Linked DNA regions of Arabidopsis thaliana. The protein of the gene in region 3 purifies or fractionates together with the protein of the main gene of each other region. This does not show direct contact. Each region holds a gene or a part of one and is shown on either strand. Other genes may lie near its edges.

Evidence for each region.
Region 1: the proteins of AT5G63550 (region 3) and AT3G12860 fractionate together in Arabidopsis thaliana (co-fractionation; one large-scale study listed by BioGRID). This does not show direct contact.
Region 2: the proteins of AT5G63550 (region 3) and NOP56 fractionate together in Arabidopsis thaliana (co-fractionation; one large-scale study listed by BioGRID). This does not show direct contact.
Region 4: the proteins of AT5G63550 (region 3) and AT4G15770 fractionate together in Arabidopsis thaliana (co-fractionation; one large-scale study listed by BioGRID). This does not show direct contact.

The regions. Positions count from the first base shown.
Region 1 is NC_003074.8:4,088,791-4,094,915, reverse strand, and holds AT3G12860 (NOP56-like pre RNA processing ribonucleoprotein), read right to left. Parts: upstream 3,350-6,125; 5' UTR 3,239-3,349; coding exon 3,034-3,238; intron 2,810-3,033; coding exon 2,595-2,809; intron 2,514-2,594; coding exon 2,356-2,513; intron 2,262-2,355; coding exon 2,074-2,261; intron 1,974-2,073; coding exon 1,721-1,973; intron 1,649-1,720; coding exon 1,500-1,648; intron 1,406-1,499; coding exon 1,271-1,405; intron 1,192-1,270; coding exon 995-1,191; 3' UTR 721-994; downstream 1-720. Other genes in the region: AT3G12870 (uncharacterized protein), read left to right, coding at 1-499; AT3G12850 (COP9 signalosome complex-related / CSN complex-like protein), read left to right, coding at 4,613-4,624, 4,775-5,101, 5,180-5,467, 5,754-5,872, 5,943-6,048, 6,118-6,125.
Region 2 is NC_003070.9:20,983,454-20,989,661, forward strand, and holds NOP56 (NOP56-like pre RNA processing ribonucleoprotein), read right to left. Parts: upstream 3,500-6,208; 5' UTR 3,441-3,499; coding exon 3,236-3,440; intron 2,986-3,235; coding exon 2,771-2,985; intron 2,679-2,770; coding exon 2,521-2,678; intron 2,439-2,520; coding exon 2,251-2,438; intron 2,155-2,250; coding exon 1,902-2,154; intron 1,819-1,901; coding exon 1,670-1,818; intron 1,581-1,669; coding exon 1,449-1,580; intron 1,360-1,448; coding exon 1,091-1,359; 3' UTR 950-1,090; coding exon of another isoform or gene 906-949; 3' UTR 882-905; coding exon of another isoform or gene 848-881; 3' UTR 820-847; downstream 1-819. Other genes in the region: AT1G56100 (Plant invertase/pectin methylesterase inhibitor superfamily protein), read right to left, coding at 305-526; AT1G56105 (uncharacterized protein), read left to right, coding at 284-429, 458-534, 601-656, 848-881, 906-949; AT1G56120 (Leucine-rich repeat transmembrane protein kinase), read right to left, coding at 3,835-4,206, 4,295-4,445, 4,527-4,758, 4,841-5,051, 5,166-5,284, 5,409-5,567, 5,656-5,854, 5,941-6,208.
Region 3 is NC_003076.8:25,442,451-25,449,253, reverse strand, and holds AT5G63550 (DEK domain-containing chromatin associated protein), read right to left. Parts: upstream 4,642-6,803; 5' UTR 4,450-4,641; coding exon 4,063-4,449; intron 3,982-4,062; coding exon 3,948-3,981; intron 3,441-3,947; coding exon 3,361-3,440; intron 3,204-3,360; coding exon 3,144-3,203; intron 3,058-3,143; coding exon 2,944-3,057; intron 2,862-2,943; coding exon 2,781-2,861; intron 2,711-2,780; coding exon 2,642-2,710; intron 2,405-2,641; coding exon 1,984-2,404; intron 1,857-1,983; coding exon 1,759-1,856; intron 1,664-1,758; coding exon 1,633-1,663; intron 1,541-1,632; coding exon 1,320-1,540; 3' UTR 1,082-1,319; downstream 1-1,081. Other genes in the region: RMI1 (recQ-mediated instability protein (DUF1767)), read left to right, coding at 4,881-5,414, 5,506-5,676, 5,813-5,958, 6,073-6,171, 6,339-6,493. UniProt on the Arabidopsis thaliana protein: Chromatin-associated protein which contributes to the modulation of chromatin structure (such as super-helical structure of DNA) and function.
Region 4 is NC_003075.7:8,975,671-8,980,113, forward strand, and holds AT4G15770 (RNA binding protein), read left to right. Parts: upstream 1-2,224; 5' UTR 2,225-2,389; coding exon 2,390-2,953; 3' UTR 2,954-3,274; downstream 3,275-4,443. Other genes in the region: AT4G15765 (FAD/NAD(P)-binding oxidoreductase family protein), read right to left, coding at 113-363, 463-691, 945-1,143, 1,303-1,368, 1,471-1,541.

The DNA.
Region 1 (6,125 bases), on a different chromosome or scaffold from region 3:
GCTAATTCTAAGCCGTGTCTCTCACAAAGAATCTCAGATCGATTCTGTTCGAAGAGAAATCACTCAGCTCTACATCTTCTTCTTTCTCTTCCACTCCATTTCTCTGCTACTTCTCTTCCACGCTTCTTCATCCTCATCTTCCTCTGCTTCTTCCAGTGCTTGTAAAAGATCATGGATCCCTTCACTCTGCGCTCTGCTATCTTCCTTGGGGATCATTTGGGCGGTACGGTACAAATCTGAAGTGGAATCGCATCTTGAGAAGTTGTTGGAGAGGGAGAAAGAAGATGCGAAGCTGTTGCGTAAATGTGTTGAAGAGTTGAAGAAGAAAGGTATCGAATTTGATTTGCTTAAGGAAGTGGATGCGCTTCGTAGAGCCAAGAGTTTAAGAGTTGAGTCGAAGCCTGTGAAGAAATGGTCTGCTAGGGATTTTGTGACGCTCTTCTTCTTCTCTGTTTCGTGTTTGGTTCTTGCCATGATTAGACTCATTCTCTGCGATTGATTCTTTTGCTCTTTTGTTGCTATGCTTTAGCAGAATTCTCTGGTTTCTGCAATTTTAGTGATAATAAAGAAAAACAACATGTTTGATTCATCTCCTTCAATCCTTTTTTGTAATGTTAATTTGTTTTGTCGACATTTTCAAAGAATTGAGCAAAAACATATCCATACATACTTGAAGATCCATTTCAACATCAACAAAAATTTGATCATCTTCAAAAGTTAAAAACCAGACCTGATAAATAATCAAAAGCTTGTTCTTTTGTTTAAGACAGACTCAATTGTAGAAAATCTGATAATTATATATGTTTTTAGTTGTTTTTAAGTCATAAACTCGCAAGACAGAGACTCAAGCTTGTTTTCATTTGGCTAAGACAGACTTAATTCAAAAGTAGAAAACCTTATCTAATTTGCGCTATGTTTAAAGTTGTTCTTAAAGTCAAAACCCTATGTAGAAGAAAGAAAACTAAAAACTAGTGTATTACACAGACTTGTTTGTTTATTCATCATCTTGTGACTTAGTTTTCTTCTTCTTCTTGCTATGGCCATTATCTGTTGCTGTCAATTCCTCTCCTTCTACTGCTTTGCTTTTCTTTTTCTTTTTCTTTGATTTCTCCTCTTCCTTCTCCTCCTCCTTCTCCTCTGTCTTTCTCTTCTTTTTCTTCTCCGAAGCATCCACTGTTTTTTCTCCCTCGTCTTAAAAAAAGAAGAAACAACCCATCAAACAAAACCGTTTACCACAACAGATCAGAGAGCTTTGTTGGGTCATATGTACCTTTCTTCTCAAGATTTTCCAACACTTCTTTCATTACATCAACATTCTTACGTGGGGCAACACCTTTGTCATAAAAGTCAAGTCTTTCCTCTACTTGTTCCCTTAGTTTCTCACCGAAAGCTGTAGTGCTGTTATCTGCATAACACAACCACCATGATTTTGTAGTTAATAACAACGCATCATCTCCCAAACACCTCTCTCTTATTCAGGACATTCTCTAGATTATTACCTGAGAAACAATCAATCCGGGAAGCAATGGAACACTTGTTTGCAAGGAAACGAGCAATACGGCCCTTGTTTTTAGCAGATGCACGCCCGATGAATGATGAATGGAATATTAGACCATATTTGGGTGTGTTTCCACGTGTTTTCAGTGCCCTGAAATTAACACCAAAGTTAGTTACTGCAGTGTAATTAAACTTGTAAAGACTAACAAAGCTTGAAATGCACCTGAAAAGTGCCTTCTCAGCACCGAGAATCTGGAGGGTTGAAGATGGGCACTTGGCAAGATTTGTCAGACTTCCTGCATGTGAAATCAACCTAGCCCCAACCATCTCTCCGATCAAGGCCGCCAAATTTGGAGCAATGTCACTCATTTTAGTAACAAGATAATCATAGAGCTTCTTCCTGTAATCTGCAAGGTCCATAACTCTCTGAGCAAAGGTCTGGACATTGATCAGATCAACCGGTGATAAATCCTGGCCTTCAAATAGAGAAAACAACAATGTCTTAGAACATGAGAAACAATAGATATATTGTAAAGATTCATGATTCTTATCGAACATGCTACATCAGTTTATTACCCATAGATGCTTTTCCAGCTTCAATAACCTCTCTTGCCTTATCTTCATCACCCAGGGCTTCAGTAAGCATAGGGATGTGCTCTTCAGACAACTTTGACTTGTCGACGATAATCTTTGAAACTTTGGCGTAGAGGTAGTTGTCATTAACTATCTTGACAAGCTCAGGGAAGTGCCATGAGTACCATTCTCTGCAAAAACATAATATGAGCTGCTCAGAAACCATTTTCTCTTACGGTAACAGACAAGACATAATCTGAAAGGCAAAACAATAAGAAAACAAACCTGACTCTCATAGCAAAGGAATTGATATCCTTATCAAGTGTGTCAAGCATGAAAATAGCTTGAATAACCATGTTATCCACCCGGTTAACATTGAACTTCACCTTTGCTCTGCTGTAGCTATGAGCTAGTCCAAGTTGAGCTTTTTCCAAATCACCAGGCTACATTATAAAGAAGATGATATTGAGCACGAATAGCAAAAATATGTGTAGGTATTAGGTAATCAAAAATAAAAAACACACCTTCAAGTCTTTGATGAACCTATCGAAATGCTGACGCACACCTCTAAGGAGCTCATGGACAAACTCATTGCTCTGGCAAGGAATTTTGGTAGCTTCAAAAATGCAAGAACCGATTTTAGGCTCAGACACTCCCAAACTAAACTTGGGCTTCTTGCCTTCCTTCACTTTCGGGAGATTCAGCTCCAGAAAACTTCTCAGCTCATCGCTCATGTATCCTACGATTTTTAAGGTGTAAAAACAATACAAATATTAATACTTTATTATCAAGACCTCCAGCAAAAGCTAAAACAGAACAGAATAAGCTGATTCCAACAGTAGTAAGAGCTCAATTTCTAAGAATTAAGCTCTTTCCAGCATAAACTATAATAGAAGCAAGTAATAAAGTATATGGTGCAGGAAACTAAAGAGGGAAAGAGCTGTAATTTAGTAGTGAGTTCACCTTCAGAGACGGCGTTGATTTGGTTAAGAGCATCGAGTGCAGACTGGAACGGGTGAAAAGCAGTGAGCTGGACGACCCGCCCGAACCGACTAAGGTCCGAGACGGAGCTCCGAACCGCCTCCGTGTTCTGTCCAATCTCATCGGAACCGTGTCCCTCGAACAATCCGTAGCCGGAGGGTGATTCGGAAAGAAGATAAATCTTCATTGTAGAGAGAATTCTGTAAAAACCCTAGCCGTCTTTTTCAAAATTGATTTGAAAATCGAGTATTTATGCAGTTTCCGTTTCGGAGAAGAATAAGAGAAATTAGGGTTTAAGGTTATTTCGCACGGAAGATGATGCGGCTTTGCTCTTAGATTAACTACATGGGCCTGGCCCATTAATTCTATCGGACTCAACCAAAATGACTAGCATGGGTCAATGGTCTTCATGTAAGGAAAAAAAAACAAGCTTTTGTTATACAAAGAGGGAAAAGTTTAGGTGGTCTCAGGTGAAGTACACGCGCGTGGGCTTCAGTTACTGTGGAAGGGCCCGTACCAGATCATATCAGTTAGTAATATAAACAAACTAATTGATCCGTTACAGAGTTGAGAGTCGTCTTCTTTCTTGTTGATCATCTTCTTCTTCTTTCTCCTGTAAAATTAATCTGTAACAGAGAGAAAGAGAGATACAAGAGAGATAGAAGGTCCTGTAGTCACATCATCGAAGGGATTGCTGAAGACCGTACGTGTGAGTTCTTAAGATTCTTTCGCTCAAGAATCTGCAACAGAACAAGACGATTAGCTCAACTAGTGAATCAATTATACTCGTACAGATTCAATTTGCGAAATCTCTCGATTAGAAAGAGGAACTGAGGTCAGTTTAACTCTTCTTTATTCCCAAATCGTGCAAAGTTGCGGTAAATGTAATGTTTCGATTGAAGCTTTTGACTTTGATGCATGGGTTTATTTGTTATGTAAAATCATATTGCAGTAGAAACTTAGCTTCATCTTTTATGCTAGTAAATGAGATCTATCTCTCAGAACTGTTAATTTGTGTTGTTGGGACACTTCTCTAACTTTCTTTGTGTTTCTTGAATAGGAAGCAATCGTCGTTTAAATTTATTAATCGTCATAGATTCAATTTGGAGAAATTCTATCGCTTAGCAAGATAAACAGGTAACTTCAACTATTTTTCTTTCCAAATCGTGCAAAGTTTCTTTGATTGAATCTTTTGATTTTGGTGAATGATTTTGTTTTTGTGACATAATTCGTTTTTGTAGCAGACTTACTTAATTTTTCATGCAATTAAATGAGATTTCTCTCTCGGAACAGTTAATCTGTGTTACTTTCTTTAATGTTTCTTGCATGTGAAGTAATCTCCGTTTAGAGTTAATCTTGTCAGTTTTAATTTGGAGAATCCATCGACTAGCTAGATTAACAGAGCATTGAGTTTGGTAGAAAAATATTGTTTATGACACACACAAATTTGTTTTCGCAGCAGAAACTTAGCTTAGTTAATTTGTTAATCAGATTTAACTTCATTTATCTTTCTTAAGTGTTTCTTGCAGACTAAGTATTGAAAAAACTATTGGTTAACAAGATGGATATTGAGGTAATTTTAAATAGTTTTTTTTTTTTCAGTTTAGTTCGTGCAATGTTGCGTTTTACTGTAAAATCTATTGGGTTATTGTTGTCAACAAAAAAGAAGAAGAACATATTGTTATCGTTAAGTTGAAAATCTTGTTTAATGACCTTTACTTAGGGTGATGATCAATTGGACTTGGATGTGGAAGCTTATTCACGAAACTACGAAGGACGAAACCTAGTGCTGAGGCTACTTCATATCGCAGAGAATTCTGTTGGCCCGATGTTCACTGACGATTTGGAACTTGAAGCCCTTCGACTTGCCTATGATCTTATCCGGAATGACGGAATTGTCTGTGACATGCGTTTGTTCACAGTTATAGCTGAAAAAATACAAGGCAGATTAGGAGAAGGTTATCTCTTGGATGAAAAATGGCGTCTTACTAAGAACAACAATTTCGTCAAACAAGACAGCATTCTAAGAAACGACTTAGAAAGTGCTACGGTAAGGAAAAGTGACTATAAAACTTTGCTTGCGCAACAAGATTCCATATTGTACATCTAATCTTCTATTCTTTTGCAGGACGAACTCGAAAAAGACCGTCTTGCACTTCGTCAGTATTGGCTCCATTACCACTGTGGCCAAATGGCGATCGTTTTCCGACCATATCCCCGGCAGGTCCAAACTATCGATGCTTACATGGCTACACTATTGGTGGCCCTCGAGACCCGCAACTTTGGGGAGCTTCCCCACCGAAGTGTCGAACAGATAGCTTACTGCAACGTAAAAAGGGCATATGGCTTCAAAATTGACTGCTTTAAGTCTCTTTCTAATCTTTTAGAAAGCAAGTATCAAGTTACTGCGGAAGGGGTAAAAATTCTCCTTAACTTTAACACAGTTTTTTTTATTAATATTAAATTGTGATTCGTTATCTAAATTTTATCTATATAATGTAGTTTGTACAGCTTTGGAAAGAAGTAGACAATTATAATTATAGGGAGGTGATCTCATCAGAAGATATTGTTCTCTTTGGACTAGTCTGTGCAATGGCTACATTTAGTAAATCCACACTTCAAGTACGTAATAAATTTTTGTGACCACTTAATTTTATTATGGGTAGCCCACATTTAACTTAAAACTCATTGTATTTTTGTAGAATGCCGTTGATACAATCGTTAACCCTATCGGGCAAGTCGCTAGTCATTTGGAAAACGTTATCAAACCGTTTGGGCCATGTGACTATCTAATTGATGTCATCAAGAAGTTACTTGCTGGGTAAGTACTTTTTTTGTATATATACTTGGCAGATAAGTGCTTTGGTTTGATTTTTATTTAACGTGAACAGGCACTTCACTGATTGCATGACACTGCTGGAGAAACAAAGACCGAGACTTCTCCTAGATTTCTACCTTAGAGATCACGTTGATAACTTACTATCAATGATGAGGGATGTAATAATCGTGGACTATCTCAAGAGTTTCTCAGCAATTTCGTTGGATAATTTTACACTGGGATTTCAGGGTGGAAG
Region 2 (6,208 bases), on a different chromosome or scaffold from region 3:
CAAACTCGACACTTGGTTGCTTTAATCCACAGCTATGAGGAATGCTAGCATACTCTATCGATTTGGCGGCTTTGTCGTAATCACCGGTTTTCAGACCTGTTTTGGCTTCCGACAGTAGTTTAGGTGCCACCGTCGACGTGTCATTTCTGCAATCCTCCAAGATTTTTCTCACTTCTTTCGTTCCTCCTCCCAGTGACAATATATTTGTAATGTTACTAGAACAATAAAAAGATTGATATATTAGTTAGAGAATATTGTCATATATCTAAGTTAATATATATGTATGGTTATTAGAAGGGAAAACTTGCTTGGTGATGATATCGAGACGAGAGTCGAGACAGTGTATGATGATCTCGGCGATGCCAACACGGTCTGCATGAACGGAGGTTGGGTCGGATTCAAGACATTGCATGCAAATGGTCGGAACTTGTGCATTATGGCATTCCTCTTTCATCAGGTCCTTCTCGGCGCAAATCGGAGAGATCACGAGCAGAGCTAACAGGAGAAACTTGATCATTATCGTCATTATGCGAAGTATATTTCCTATGATTGATTATGTTATATTTCTTTGAGGGGTGTGAATTTCTTATTTGTACTAAGAATATGGGACTGGGAATGTGGTTGGTCACGAGTTTATCTATCCTTCTCAAAAGGAGGTAGCTCTATTGTTTACTTACACAAGTTTTAACATCTATTCAATTTTACCTTTTGTTAATGTTAACTGACCATTCAAACGCGAGCTGCTCTTCTTCTATTACTCCATTTGGGTAAAATAATAAATCATATGGCTCCAAATTCATTTTCACAAACTTGTTAAGCTAGTTTTCCAATTTGGTAGTTAGTTTAGCTATTATTGAAACATTTGCAAAGCACTGGAATTGGTAATTGTATTTTATAAAATGGAGGAGCCTCCTTCACGGTTGCAAACGTCAAAATAGTGAAAACCTAAACAAACTTAAGATATTGCCAAACCTTGAATCGTTTCCAGACCAAAACAAAAATTCTCCGATGTTCACTACGAAAAACAGACGACATTAATTTAGCTCAAAAAAAAAATACAATACAGGGTTTGTTAATGTTGCATCCCTTTCTATTCAGCGCTCTTAGACTTCTTCTTCTTCTTCTTGGTGCTGTGACCATCATCAGTCTCCTCTTCTCCTCCAGCTTTACTCTTCTTTGTCTTCTTCTTCTCTGATTTCTCGTTCTCCTCTGCAGTCTCCATCTTCCTCTTCTCTTTCTTCTTCTTTTTCTCTGACTTGTCCTCCTCCATTGCCACCACCTCTTCTTCTTCTTCACCCTTTGCCTTCTTCTTCTTGCTTTTCTTCACCGAGGCATCAACTGGCTCCTTCCCTTCCTCTTCTAAAGGAGGAACAGATAAAAAAACACTGAGTTTGCCATCATAAAGAGGACTCTGATTACAACCAAAAAAAAACAGCTACAAGAAATACCTTGCTTTAGATTCTCTATCACCTCCTTCATTACATCCACGTTCTTGCGTGGGGCAACACCTTTGTCATAAAATTCTAGCCTTTCCTCAACTTGTTCGCGAAGCTTCTCACCAAAAGCAGTAGTTGCACCATCTGCATAGGACATCAGGGCACATAATTTAACACTTTCACAACAGAATTCATAATCCAAAACTCTTCTTCAAGGAGTTTCAGATTTTTACCAGCAAAACAATCAATCCGGGATGCTATAGAGCACTTGTTTGCAAGATAACGAGCGATACGGCCCTTGTTCTTAGCAGATGCTCGGCCAATGAAGGAAGAATGGAAAATCAATCCATACTTGGGAGTGTTTCCACGTGTTTTAAGTGCCCTGAAATACCACAGCAGTTCATGTCACAAGCAGCACTAAAAGGAAACTGGTGAACATTAAAAATATAGTGCCAGATATTGCACCTGAAAAGAGCCTTCTCGGCTCCAAGAATCTGGAGGGTGGAAGATGGGCATTTAGCAAGGTTAGTCAGACTTCCAGCATGTGAAATCAAACGGGCACCGACCATTTCTCCAATCAAAGCAGCCAAATTAGGGGCAATGTCGCTCATCTTAGTGACAAGATAATCATAGAGCTTCTTCCTGTAGTCAGCAAGGTCCATAACTTTCTGAGCAAAGGTCTGTACGTTGATTAAGTCAAGCGGTGATAAATCCGAGCCTGCCAATAGGGAAGAGAGTAAATGTCTCAGGACATAAGTTAACAGAAACACACATTAACTCAAAGCTACCAAAAAAGTCAGCTCAAAATTTTTACCCATGGATGCTTTTCCAGCTTCGATGACCTCCTTTGCCTTATCTTCATCCCCTAAGACTTCAGTAAGCATGGGGATGTGATCTTCAGTCAACTTTGACTTGTCATCAATCATCTTTGAAACACGGGCGTAAAGATAGTTGTCATTGACTATCTTCACTAGTTCGGGGAAGTGCCACGAATACCATTCCCTGTAATAACATTATAAACAGTTCAGCTACCAATTTTCTCGAGGAAAACACACAATCTGAAAGGGAAAAGCACAAAACAAACCTGACTCTCATGGCAAAGGAATTGATATCCTTATCAAGCGTGTCAAGCATGAAGATAGCTTGAATAACCATGTTATCCACTCGGTTAACATTGAACTTCACCTTGGCTCTGCTGTAGCTGTGAGCTAATCCAAGCTGAGATTTTTCAAGATCACCAGGCTACATAAACAGAAATTTTTTATGAGAACACAAACCATATGAGATAAGCAAACAGACAAAAAGATTTTAAACACATAGAAAGGAGATCACACCTTTAAGTCCTTGATAAACCTATCAAAATGCTGGCGAACACCTCTGAGAAGCTCAAGAACAAACTCATTGCTCTGGCATGGGATTTTAGTAGCTTCAAATATATGTGAACCGAGTTTAGGCTCAGCCAATCCTAAACTGAACTTGGGTTTCTTTCCCTCCTTGACCTTAGGAAGATTCAACTCCAGAAAACTTCTAAGCTCATCAGTCATAACACCTACCAATATCACATTAAAACCAATTCCAAAAGCATCAATGACAAAACCAAAACAATGAAACAAAAACAGAACACAAAAACAAGAATCAACCATAAATTAAAGCTCTTTCTACAATATATCCAGGAAATTTGAACTATAAGGTTTTAAATCGAAGTGTCTACTCTAGCTCTAAATACAAGAACAAGCTACTCAACACAACACATGAATATACAGAACAAAGAATAAGAAGAGAGTAATGAAGAGTCTGACCTTCAGAGACGGCGTTGACTTGGTTGAGAGCATCGAGAGCAGACTCAAAGGGATGAAACGCTGTGAGCTGAACAACACGGCCAAAGCGACTGAGGTCGGAGACAGAAGTCCGAACCGCCTCAGTGTTCTGTCCGATCTCATCTAGTCCGTGAACCTCGAAGAGACCATAGCCGGAAGAAGACTCGTAGATAACATACATCGCCATTTTTTGAGGAGAAGAAACTAAAACCCTAAAGACCTACTGAGCGAGAAGAAATATACAACGAACGAAACTAGGGTTTCAGGGGTTTAATAAGCGCATCTGTTGATGGCGCTGCTCTTGAAAAATTCAATGGGCCAGGCCCATTTAACGGTGTGTTAGTTGTACTAGCTTATAAAATGCCCGGCCCATCACAACAGGTTAACTTTCTTTTTTTTTTTTTTTTTTTTTTTTTTTGGTCATCCTTGCAAGATATCAAAAGTTTGTTACAAAAATTGAAAAATTGTCAACTAAAATATTATTATTGAATGAAAGTGAAATCTGTTTCTCCACATCCTTATATAGAAGAAAATTGTCAACTTCCATATACAAGCATATCAAATTATAGAGGGGACAATCTTCATCTTCCCTCCTTGATCTTGAATCCAACCATTGGCTTCGATTCGCCGTCTCTAAGTGGCATCTCCGGGCCAGGCGCTATAAAGCTCGTCGAGAAGCTAGTGTCTTTCGTTTGAAAGTTGCTGAATGAGGAGCTTGTGGTGTCATCAAATGTACAGTCGGTTAGGTAGCCTGGCTTAGAGGTGGCATCATTGACCTCAGCATCTCCTGACAACATGGCTACTACTCGTGACATTGGTGGTCTCAACGCATAAGATGACTGAGTGCAAAGCAGAGCAATGCCAATCATGCGTTTCACTTCTTCCATGTTGTATTCACTTAGCTCATCATCTATTAGTTCAACGTCACGGTTTTTCTCGTGTAGATTCCATGCCTGTATACAAGAAATACAAAAGGATTATCGGCTTTTGTCATTTATCACACCATCTTCAACTTCGCCTATATGACAAATATAGACGTACCCATTCAAGAAGATATTTTTTTCCCTCTTCCAGGTTCTCATCAGAGTTTTTCCTTCCACTCACTAGCTCAAGAGCCACAACACCAAAGGCATACACATCTGTTTTCTCTGTTAGATGTCCACGCATGGCATACTCTGGCGCAAGATACCCACTGCATTGATACAACTAACATGAGCTATAAAGCCATAATTGTGTTGCAAACAAAATGTCAGGGTCTATGGATTTTGCTTACATCGTCCCTGCCACTCTGGTACTAATATGGGTTTTCTTGTCATCATATAGTTTTGCAAGCCCAAAATCAGAAACTTTTGGGACCAGTTCAGAGTCCAGTAAAATGTTGCTGGCCTTCACATCTCTGTGTATTATGCGAACACTTGCTTCCTCGTGGAGATAAACTAGACCTCTGGCTACTCCCAGACATATCTCATAACGGGTTGACCAATCAAGATGCAAACTCTTATCCCCTGTAACATCCAACCCAATGGCATAATGATTACTTTAGCTTGGCAGAAGCAGAGATAGGTAAGTCATGTTTCTGTTCATTACCAAATAATGCCTGATCGAGACTTCCATTAGGGAGATACTCATATACGAGCAAACGATGATCTCCTTCAAAGCAGCACCCGTAAAGTTTTACTAGGTTGCGATGTAGAACTGAAGAAATTGCAATAATTTCTGCAACAAATTGTCCCTTCCCTTGCCGTGATCCAATTGACAACTGCTTCACCGCCACCTCTCTTCCATCATTGAGGTTTCCCTGTTGAACGTGTTATTCAAAACAAAACGTATTAAAAGGTATTACATGTACCCTTCTTTCCTAGTATCTCAGAAAAATATACAGCTATTTTGTTCGATTCAGTAAGGGACTTACCTTATAAACAGCCCCAAACCCTCCCTCTCCAAGCTTGTTTGAGAGATCAAAATCTTGTGTTGCATTCTTAAGTTCCGAGTAAGTAAAGGTGTAAGGCTTTACGTCCATACTAAGTATCTCTGCCATAAAAAATTCACTACTTAAAATCAACCAATTTAACAGATGATAGTCAACTTTAATTTTGATCAGAGAGCTAAAGTTATTCAGCTCAAGGGCTTGTTTATGTTCTTATTACATCTGTACCTTCATCATCTGTGTACGGTTTTCTTCTTTTTCGAATGACGAGGATAACCACACCCGCAAAGATGCTCAAAAGTCCAACACCAACAATGACACCCACAATAGTACCAGTCCTGCTCTTTCCCTTTGATGGTGGCCTATTAGCCACAGTTGGTGTGAAATCTGAACAAGAATATGTGACACGGCACTAACTAGTATCGGGAGATAGTGAAAATCAGAGGAAAAAAAATATATCAACCGTTTGTGTTACCTGGTGTCGCACTGACGGCCGCTATTAATGGCCCATAAGCCCCTTGGATAGGAATACAACATGTTCCTTTTCCAGCCCAGAAAAGATGGACTTCGAGATGATTTTCTGATACATTTGTTTTATATTCTCTCTGAACTGCTCGAACCGAAGAGCCACCAGCTGTTCTGCGTATATCAAAATCCTTTTCAACAAGTCTTCCCTGGAAAAATGGAGCTAGATCTTAGAATTCATCAGAACCAAAAAGTAACATTTGTGAACCGGAAAGCTCGATCAAGTGGTGCAGACCTGGACATAAATGTTAAAACGTCGTCTTCCAATACCTTTCCAAGAGTTAGAACCTTCAATTTGTACTTCAGCAAACTGAAGTGTTACGGTGTACCCTCCATTTTCTAGCCCCAACCCATAATACCTTAGGGAAGATGCAGAAAGTCGTGCTGACTGAAAAAGCTCTGAGTCCATAGTGTTGATAAATTGTGCTAGTGAAGTAGCTATGTATATATTGTTGCTACTGCCAGCAAAATTTCCTACACTACTGGCTGCCCATCTCTTTGCA
Region 3 (6,803 bases):
TTAGTTTGCATGCATTTAATTAAGAGCTAAATGGTATTATTATTTTTTGGGAAAAAAACTTCATATTTTTATACTAGATCTATCCAATCTAAAATTAGGAGTATGTGATCCTGCTTTTAAAAACTTCAAAATTTTACCTGGTGTATAATTTTGTTCAATCCACAGATTTTTGTTTCAGGACAACATTCTAGATTCAAATTTAAAGTGTAGCAAAAAGAGTCAACAAAACAATTTGAATACATATATTTAAGAGCTGGTGGTTGATTGATATATAAATAGCTAAATATTATCAAATGGAATCAACTTTAATCAGTCTATGTAAATGGTTTTATTATGTTGATTACGTTTACAAATTACAACTAACCTGCAGGATGTAATATAACAAAAAAAAAAGTTTAAAATGAAACTGTAGAGCCCTGACTTCTATTAAAAAAATACAAAGCTGGTTTAATTTCAAGGTAAATTATAGGGAGTTGGTAGCTATATAGTCTACTATTAATTTTCCTTTCTTTTTTTGGGTCAATGGTGGGCTATAGTCTTAAGCCACCAAATTATAAACCAAACACTTCACGAACAAGGTCGCATTTGGATAGTAGCTTTTCTTATTAATATATAAAGATCCTTGGAGATTGAGATTTAGTAGTGGGTGGATTGTATAAATAAATAGCATTAGTTGAACTAGCCCTATTATTGATAATTGAATGTAACTTGGCGTCAAGAAAAACCCGAATTTGAATGTAGGAAATATAGGTTGTGCTTGTGCATATCACATACTTTCAGAATTACATATAATTTTTTTTATGAAAAACATATTTTTATAAGTACTTTCAAAGAAATATATCTTTTACATAAAAATATAGATTGTATTTGTGCATATCACACTGCAAAAAAGCTATGTCTACCTTTACTGAAGGATCATTATCATGTGACACTGGGATTTTTAATACAGAGTAGTTTTTCTGAACCCACTCAAGTTTCAAGTTCAACATTCGTTTTCATGATCTCACAAATCAGATAACAGAATTAAATGAAATATACGAATATGTCTTAAATTAAACCCAAGAAAAGAAGAAGTAAAATTCCCTAAAGTATCTGGCTATCAAATAAAACAAGGATTAGAAAACCTAACAGGTAACAGGTAACAGCTACACAAGTAAAAGACACTTAAAACTACATAATGAGAGTCAGACTATAGAGATTACACAGTACAAAAGTACAGATTCGACACACTTTCACTTGCTCTGGTTCACACAAAAGTTGTGTCAGTTTTGCTTTCCTTCACATTAGATTTTGAACGAAGGAAAACGAAACTCTTAACCTCAATCCTTTGGCTCTTCTTTTTCCTTCTCTTTGTCACTTTCAGCCTCAGCTTTTTCCTCTTCTTCCTCTCCTTTTACTTCTTCCTTTTCTTTGTCACTTCCTGCCTCAGCTTCTTCCTCTTCATCTTCTTCTTCATCATCAGTCATTGCATTTATGGCCTCTGTGATAACATCCTTCACCTCTGGTTTTCTATGCGACAGCTCGACACCAAAATGGTCACCTGACGTTATCACAAACAGCATATGTTACCAAAAAGCTCCTTGTACATTTGAATTGCGAAATAGATAATAAAAGCAAAATCCAATAACATACTTAGCTTCTGCAGAATATCTGATAGTGTTGCCTGTTATTAAGAAAAAAAAAGTGTATGAGAACATCTATTCAAGTTTTTTAAACCATTACATTGTATTTGGACTTGGGAAAATCAAACCATCTTACCGTATTGAAGTCTACTTCCTTCAGAATTTTGGACACCACTTCAAGCATCTCTTTTCTGGTGGGCTCTGCTTTGGCTTTGCCTTTCTTAGTGGCTTTTCCTGTTTCCAATCCATGATAGAGGAGAACAAATATAAATAATCAGCTTCAAAAACAAATAGGATGATTTCATATAAAACATAAATCGAACGAGGCTAAGCCTCAGAAGCAGCTGAGAATGGTTCTAACCTTTCTCTTTAGATCCCTTAGCCTGTGGCTTACTCGGCTGTTTCTTGCTTTTCTCTTTAGAAGACTCAACGTGATCAACTTTTTGCTTCTTAGCTGGGGATGAAGTTGACTTAGCAATTTGTTTGGAGGACTTTTCCCCAGATCTTGCAGAACCTTTGGCAGAAGGTTGCTTATCCTTACCTTTGGACCCTGAACTCTCCTCTACAGTCTTTTTCGATGAGCTTTTCTTCTTGGATGGTTTCTCAACCTCTACTTCATCTTTCTCATCGTCAGTGTCAGTCTTTTCATGGTCACTTTCTTCCTCTGGCGCTGCATCATCTTCTTCATGAGGATCATTAGTTCCTTCAGAGTCAGCATCTCCCTCATCCTTGCCTTCTTCCGTGTCAGATGGAAGATCTCGCTTTTTAGTTTGCCTTTTCCTCTGCGTAGTAACAAAACAGGGATATTTGTACAACCCATGGTCAACAACTAATAAATCAAGTCACATAGATGAGAAAGCATATAATAATTCATGCGAATGACGGTAATCCAACCAAACATTTAAAATCAAAATTCACACCAGTCATATGAGGAAAATAAAAGAAAAACAAGCTATAAAGGCGCCAGTAGCAGGCAATGAATGCAAATAAGAGAATTGAGATAATAACAAAGTACAAACCTTGGCAGGGGTGTCCGAAGATTCTCCAGATTTCCCCCTTTTTGGTGTACTCTTGCGCTTTTTCGCCTGCTAAAAATGAATTCAGTGCTCCCATTGAGAATGAACATGTAGAACAATAATGTACTGATTCCAATAATACCTTTTCTTGATCAGCAATTATAACATCTCTAGTTTCCTTGGGAGATTCCAAAAATTCAAGCACTTTGACAGCTAGTTCTTCCTGGCAGTATCAGGATAGAGGATTTCTTAGAATATAGAACAAGGTGCAATAAATAGATAGACTACATCTTCTTATCACTTACTTTTTTCACGTTACTTCTGCTTATAGGGATATCAAGCACATCACAAAAAACAATCAATTTTTCTTTTACGCATTTGTCAATCTTCTCTTTTATTCGTGCTCTCTGCTTCTCCTCCTAAGAAACATTTAAATAAAAGTTTCAACACCAGGGACAACAGCATACACATCCCTGTAACAAAATAAACTTGAAATGGGTTATACCTCTTTCTCTGACCAGGCAAAGCCAGAAAATTGACCAATGTTTCTCTTAACCATCTGTGCCTGTAGAGAAATTTTCACAAAACGCTTTTTAAGTAGCTATGCACTCTGGCAAAGAAACAATGAAAATTCCGAGACGACATCCATACTAACAGAGACAGAAGCTTGCAAGTGAAACATAACTACCATATGTGGAATATAAGAGCAACTTTTAGCGCACCTTTGCTTTCTTCCCAAAAAGAATGGTGTGTAGTAACATCAGGTTGTCATCAGCTTTTCTCTTCGATAGTTTATGAGCCACTGAAACAGCAAAAATTATCAGACAACTTTCTAATCAAAAATAAATGTAAACAAGTCTTTATCAAAATAACTAAAATTTTCACCCTCAAGCTAAACAAACAAACAAGAGAAAGAAAGAAAGAAAAAAAAAATCTCATCTTCTTATCAACAACAGTGCAGAGTATGAGTATTTCTCCACAGCAAAATTAAGCAAATCACAGACAGCAAGTTAATAGACTAATAGTGATATTCCATCAGAAAGTCAGACTATAGGTATCAAATTGGTAGAAGTAATAGTATCCAAGTAGACCAAAAGCCCAAGCTTTTCTAATGAAATGGTTCTATCTATAATCATGCCAACACAGACAGGAAAAATCTCACAATAGCTATCTCATCTTCTAGATCTAAGATGTGCCAACCAGCCAAGATTGTTCATCGTTCTGATTAACAACAATTAGATCTACACATCACAAATTCACAAGACTTCAATCAAAACAACCACAAATCGAAATTGATTCTCATACATACCATTTGGAATTTCTCTGAGAGGTGTTCCACGACCCTACAACAAAAAACCATAACTAATTGATCCAATTCTCATAAAGACAAATAAGAAAGACAAACAAAAGTTCCATCAAGCTACCTTTTCAATTGAAACGGACTTGCTCGGTGGAGCCCGCATAGGAGTCGACAACGAGAAACGCTCAACCTTCTTTCTCTCCCTCGTTGGTCTCTCACTAGTCGGAGTCACCGTTTCCTTCTCCGACGATTTCTTACTTCCACTTCCTTCTTCTTCTTCTTCTTCCTCCTCACTTTCTACATCGTCTTCTTTATCTTTCTCACCCAATTCTCCTTCTTTCGCTTCACCCTCTTCTTCATCTTCCTTCTTCTCCTCCTCCGCTTCGCCAATTCTCGGCGAATCCACTTTTTCTTTCTCTACCTCCTTCTCCTCCTTCGGAACAACATCAATTTCCTCCTTCGCCGGAGAATTCACTTCCGGTGTCTTCTCATCTAGGGTTTCAGTCGCCATTTCAAACCCAAACAACAGGCGAATCAAAACGTGAAAAGTCAAGAAAAAAAAAAACTCAAATTTCAGATTTGGGGAAACTCGAAATTGTAAAACCCTAATTCAACGATTATGAAGAAGAGAAACAAAAAAATTTGGGGATTTTCAAAAATTCTGGTACCAAAAATTAGAACACAAAGGCGGGCTCTTTTCGTCACCCCCAAATATTTTCACCAAATTCAGCTCGCGGCAAAACTAAACCCAAATTTATATACATACACATATACATACATACAACAAAACTCGGCCCAATTTTATAACAGGCCCCATTTTCCTCCTAATGAGCCCAATTGCGTTCTGGCTTCTAAACAAACTTTTTCAAAAAAAAAAGCAAAATAGAAAATTGATTTTGGAGGGAAAACCAATAAAATTCCCTAAATTTCGCCGGCGAAGAAATGCGTAGACGGCGCCTGCAACTCCGGTACTCCTCCGACGAAGAAGAAGAAGATGAAACTGGAACAAGCGGAGTTGGTGATTCTGTTCAGAGCTTTGGTATTGCTTCATCTATACAACCGGAAACCTCAGTATCGTCGAATTCTAACCCTAATCCCGGTGAGAGAATCGCTATATCGGAAGTTGAGATTATCGACGTTTTTGGTAATCCCCAGCCTACACCGCCGGATTCTAGTATTCCTACACCGTATCCGGTTTATCCGTCGGAGTCAGTGAGCGGCAATGACTATGAATCGCCGATCAGTGAGGTTCTTTCTCGAATGGGGATTAAATTGAAGAGGGAGTGGTGGGTATCTTGTCTTTCAGGACTTGAAACTTCAATTCCACAATTTTCCTACCTCGATGTTGCAGCTAAAGCTAAGCATTGCTTCGAGCAGTTTATGTTTTTCGATATGAATTTATGCGGAGGTGGTGTTCTTCCTCCGAACGTTGCGTCTATGAATCGTATAGAACTCGCTGGTCCGTTTGTTCTGCAGGTTATTTGATTGTTTGGTTTTTACACTGTATATATAATTGCGCAATGTGTGATTTTGGCTGAACATTTTTGCTTAAATTTTTCAAATTTAGGTTGATGAGATTGTTAACATTGGCTGCCCACTCAAAGGGAGGTATGAGAATGCTAATGCAGGGCTTAAGAGGTGCCTTAAGCTGTCTATGACAGATGGTGTTCAACGCGTTTTTGGTATGGAATACAGGCCTATTAAAGATCTTCAAGTCTTGGCTCCTGCTGGTTTAAAGGTGTGTGTTTCTTGTTGAGGATTGTAGTTGTGAAAATTGTATGAATATTTGTTCTAAGGCCATTGTACAGCCTTTAAGATTATTTATACATGTCTGTGTTTTTAGTACAAGTACTGACTAGAACAGCTAAATGCAGATTGTTGTATCTAGTGTACAAGTTCGGCATGGGCTTTTAATGCTAGTACCTGAGATTGTAGAAGTTTTAGGAGGGATGGTTGAAGAACTAGAAGAAGCACGAAAGCGTCTGGTTGTTGAAGTAAACAAACCTCCAAGAGGAAAAAGGTTAGATTTATTCAAAGATTGGTTTACATTGTTCAAAATTCGATATTTCTCCAGCTTTTGTTTCTCCCCCTCACTTCATATTCGAAATTTGTGTCATGATGTATGTCTCTTCAGTTGGAAAGATTATTTGCAACCAGTGTGTTTCACCGATTTCTTTGGCTACAGCTTCTTTGATCTTGAGAATAGAGACTGGTTTGGAGTATGCCTGACAATGTACTCGTTTAGTGAATTCTGCATTTGGATTGGTTTCTGTTGAAAGATGTTGCATTTTATCGCGTTAAAACAGTTTATAACATACATACTACTAACTGTCTTTTCTATTTGCAGTTGTAAATTTTACCCTTCTTGTCAAAGTTTTTATTTGATTTTAACTTTTGCAGAACAAGGGTAGGAGTGGTTCCTTCTTTAACAACCAGAGCAACTCTAGCTGCGTGGTCGCTAAATGGCAATGATACTGGTAATCATGTACATGATACTGGTAATCATGTAAATAGTTCTGCCTCGGGCAATGCTAGTCACACTCAAGCCAATCAAGGTAGGGGAGTTTCTACATTAATCTTCTTGTTCAGAAAAAATTACATGTCAACAAAAAGAGTAGCTGCATGTTTCAAAAGTAGAGTTCACAAAACTAGTCAAAGTGTTCATTACTGTCAACCCTGAACCAGAGTAATTATTTGTTCCATCACAGGAAAGTGGATAAGTGAAGATTTTGAATCAAAGGAAACAGACTATTCCCATTTTTTAGCTTATTATCATAAATTATAACATACTAGAGCACAATCATGGTTCGTTCTGTGTTTCCTATGATCTTTTCTTACTTCACCATAGCCGAGTTACAACATTAA
Region 4 (4,443 bases), on a different chromosome or scaffold from region 3:
ATCAATTGCTTCTTCTATTTGCATCCTTGAAGAGAAGGAAGATACATTAATTATACCGTCTTGACCTAAATTTAACTTCCTCCACAAGCATCTAGCCAAAACAACACCGTCCTCAAGCGCAGCCGAACATCCTTGTCCTAAGAATGGGCCCATTAGGTGCATACTGTCTCCGGCCAACTGTCACGGTGCCACGTCGGAATTTTCCAGACAGAACATCCCAAGGAGCACGGTACCTTAAACGGTTGATATACAAAGAGTCCATATCACAATTCTTCACCATCTCTTTCCACTCTTCTGAGAATTCGCGGACTGATGCTAGTGCCAATCTTGCGATATCCTCTTGATTTTTTAAGAAGTTTGAGTCTATTTATAAAACAAATTATAAATACGTTAGTGCGTTATATGAAAACAATAGAAGTCTATGTATAGTATGAAATGTAGCATGACCGGGTTATTAATTACCTTGGGGACAATTTCGCAAAACAACAAACCAAAAGACGAGTTTGTGAGTTATAGGAAGTCGTCCGCTTACGACGTTGTCCATCTTGATTCTTATAAACTCTTGTCGGAATCCATGGTCGTCCGGGTAATTTGTGAACCCTCTGATGGCCCGCGAACCGAGGTCTTTAGTCGGGTTTAATCCTAGAAATCTAGAGACTACAGAATTTGACCCATCGCAGCCAATCAAAACCTAAATTAAAAGAAAAGTATATTATCAAAATATATAAGACCCATGCATTTCATGCTAAACATGTTGCTTTCAGTGAAAAACAAACAAAACACAAACCATTAAAACCGATCACGACCCATAAATGTCACTGTCGGCTAATATAAAGTATATACTAAAAAAATTCCACTACGGCATCACCTCAATAATTGATCAATAAATATATCTACTGTTGTTAAAACGTGCCTTTGCTTTGATAGCTTCTCCCGTTTTTAACGTGCACAATCGGAAACGATTTTGTTTCGTCGAGCTTAACCGACAAAATATGGCAACCAAGCCGGAGAGTGCCAAGAGGAAGAGCATGAGCCAAAGCTCGAACCAAGTCGTTCCTTAGTACACCTCTTACTTCTCCATAGGATGCTGGTCCAACCGATTCTCTTCGTTTAATACCTTTCTCGATCAAAACATCTCTTATCCTGTTTTAGTACCATACCGGAAATCATTATAACTAGATAAGGTTAGTTAAAATATAAATATTTATATACTTACTGATGAATTGGGAGAGACTTAAGACGAAGCTAGCTTATCGGCGACACCAAGTTGTTGAAGAGCAAGCCAGCCGTTAGTCTGAATACCAAAATGCTGCTCCTTCCGATCTTACAGACTCTGATCTCTCCAACACAACGCTCTTTATGCCCTTCCTTTATAATCATATTTGTATGTTTAGTTAGTCAATAGTTCATGTATATGTTTTCTAATTTAAATTACCTTATAATTGAGAAAATGAGGAGATTATAGTGAACCTGTGAAGAGCAAGGGAAGTTGCAAGACCAGCAATGCCTCCTCCCACGATTACTATGTCCAATTCTTCCATTCTTCTATATTTGTATTTCCTCCAAATTTTATGATCGTTATGTCCTGCAATGTCGTGGACTTATATGTGGGGGTTGAAGCCACATGGCAATATGGCATGTCGTGGTTGTACCTTGACCCGCGTATTTTTCGTTATCTATACATATTCATTCACAGCGATTTTTATTGGTATTTGTCGATTCATATATCAATTAAACTGTGTATCACACAGATCGTTATATGAAACCAATTCTGAAGAGAGAAAAAAAAGAAAAGAAAAATTTAAGCCTTCTTGTGTTAGAATTACTAATTTTAATAATTTATTTAATATTTTTACTGTATTAGTGATTAAATGTATAATTTACTTAATCTTAGAAGTATATATATATATTTAAAACAATTATTTTCTTACACGTTATACAATATTTGTAATTAATTGTATTTATTTATATTAGAAATATATATACCTTTTTCTAAAATAATATATTTTTGTTTTGTCAATTGCCCTTATAATATTAGTAATTCATTGTATGATTTCCTTATAATATTTTTACACATGAAAAAATCTCTAACTAAACATCTTTTCAATAAACTACATGAACTATCAAATTTGTTATAACTTTCAGTTATCCTCCAAAGTCCAAATATTCAAAGTGAATTATTCATGGGTTGGATTTAACAAAAATAATAATTTCGAGGTTGAAATGACAATAGATATTTTTAAAACAAAGGACCAAAGTCGAAATAACAAAACTCATCGGCCGCATTAGGTTTGGTCCTAAATCCCTAAAACCCTAAAAAAACACAATCCCTCTTAGAAACAGAGAGCTTCTCTTCTTTCTCCATTATTCATCACTTTCTTCCCCGAAGATGCGTCCTTTAGACGAGACCGAGACAACCGTCGTCTTCGAGAAGCTCTTCAAATTCGTCGGCAACAACCTCAAGAAGATCGTCGAGAACCCATCAGACGAAGGACCCGAATCTACACCCGGCAGCTACTGCTTCCGCCTCCAGAAAAACAGAGTCTACTACGTCAGCGAAGCCCTCGTGAAGCGAGCCACAAACATCTCCAGGAAAAACCTAGTCTCCTTCGGAACCTGCATCGGGAAATACACTCACGCCGGTAGTTTCCATCTGACGATTATGTCACTCAATATCTTGGCGGCGAATGCTAAACACAAGGTATGGCTTAAACCCACTTCGGAGATGTCGTTTCTTTATGGGAACCATGTCTTGAAAGGTGGATTAGGGAGGATTACTGATAGTATTGTTCCTGGAGATGGTGTTGTTGTGTTCTCGATGTCTGATGTTCCGTTAGGGTTTGGGATTGCTGCGAAGAGTACACAGGATTGTAGGAAATTGGATCCTAATGGTATTGTTGTGCTTCATCAGGCTGATATTGGAGAGTATTTGAGGGGTGAAGATGACCTTTGAAAGTTTAAAGGTTTTGTCTTTGTTGTGTCTTAGTTTGATTCTGCTTGTTGCTTTGAGTTTTAAAGTATGTAGCTGTTACAAGTTTCGTGGAACTTGGTTCTGGATCTATGAAAGTCTCGATTTTTATAAATCTGTTTTTGAGGTGTTTTGTGAGACTCTTGAGTATGTAAAAGCTAAAAAATTTACATTCATATGCGAATTTTCAAATCTGTAACCTGATGATCAAGATTTGTATTGGAGACAGGTTGAGTTTCCTGATATTGCTTTGATTTTTATACTTAAAAGCTTCAAATTCTTCATCAAGCTTGAAACTTTGGAAATTTACATACATATGCTAATTTTCAAATCTGTAACCCTAATGATTCAGATATGTGTTGGAGACAGATTGATTATGCTGATTTTTGAGACAGATTGATTATGCTGATTTTTGAGACAGATTGATTATGCTGATTTTTCTTTGGTTTTATAGTCCAAAAGCTTCAAATTGTTTTCAAGCTTCAAACTTTGGCCTTTGAGTATTAAGGGTATGTGACTGTCACAAATTTTGTGGAACATGGTATTGTATCTATGAAAGTCTCAATTGTTCTCAAACAAGAGTATCGAGAAGCTACAATTGTAAGCTGATGAATCAGTTTTCTGTATGGAAACAGATTGCTTGCTTTGATTTAAAACTTCAAAACTTATTACTGGGCATATAGGTTGTGTACTGCTGCCAAATAATCTGGAGAAGAGATGTTTAAACCAATTAAGTTCTGAAATCTTTCTGAAACAGATTGCATAACTTTTTGGGAAAGATATTGAGGGTGTTCTTTGAATAAATATGTTGTACACTGAAAATTTCCCACATTAAGAGTAGGGGATTGATATTCATCATCTTTTCAAACGTAATCTTGTAAAGTTCAACTTCAACCCAAAGTCTTGGCCTTTGTACGTTTGTTCCTCACTTGGGAATTGGGATGCAAAGCTGTGTTGCAAAATGTTTAGAAATAATATTTACTGTTATATAGTTTTTCTGGTATCATTAGTCACAAAGCCCGTCTAGCTCAGTTGGTAGAGCGCAAGGCTCTTAACCTTGTGGTCGTGGGTTCGAGCCCCACGGTGGGCGCTTTGTTTTTGTTTTTTTAATCCAAATTTGATCATATTCTGATTTTAGTTTTGAGTACCTTGACTAGTGACTCTTGAGCATGTGTTTTATGCAAGTTTTAAGATATCCTCGCCTTTAATTACGCTACGTAGAATATGTGAATTAGTATGGTACACCCAAAGAAAGAACACAAATACTTTATATAATAATACAACATCCAAAGTCAAAACCTTACAATACATATGGTACCATTTTGTTCCCCTCTCTCTCTCTTTACTAATCTCTCTACTGAAGACTTTTGTCTCTGTTTGTCGCCTGTCTCCGCCAAAAGCTCTAAGTCTCTAACCATCACGTAGAGTAATTTGTTGTGTCTTCAATCCGTGCAATTAAATCCATGACAAACCGA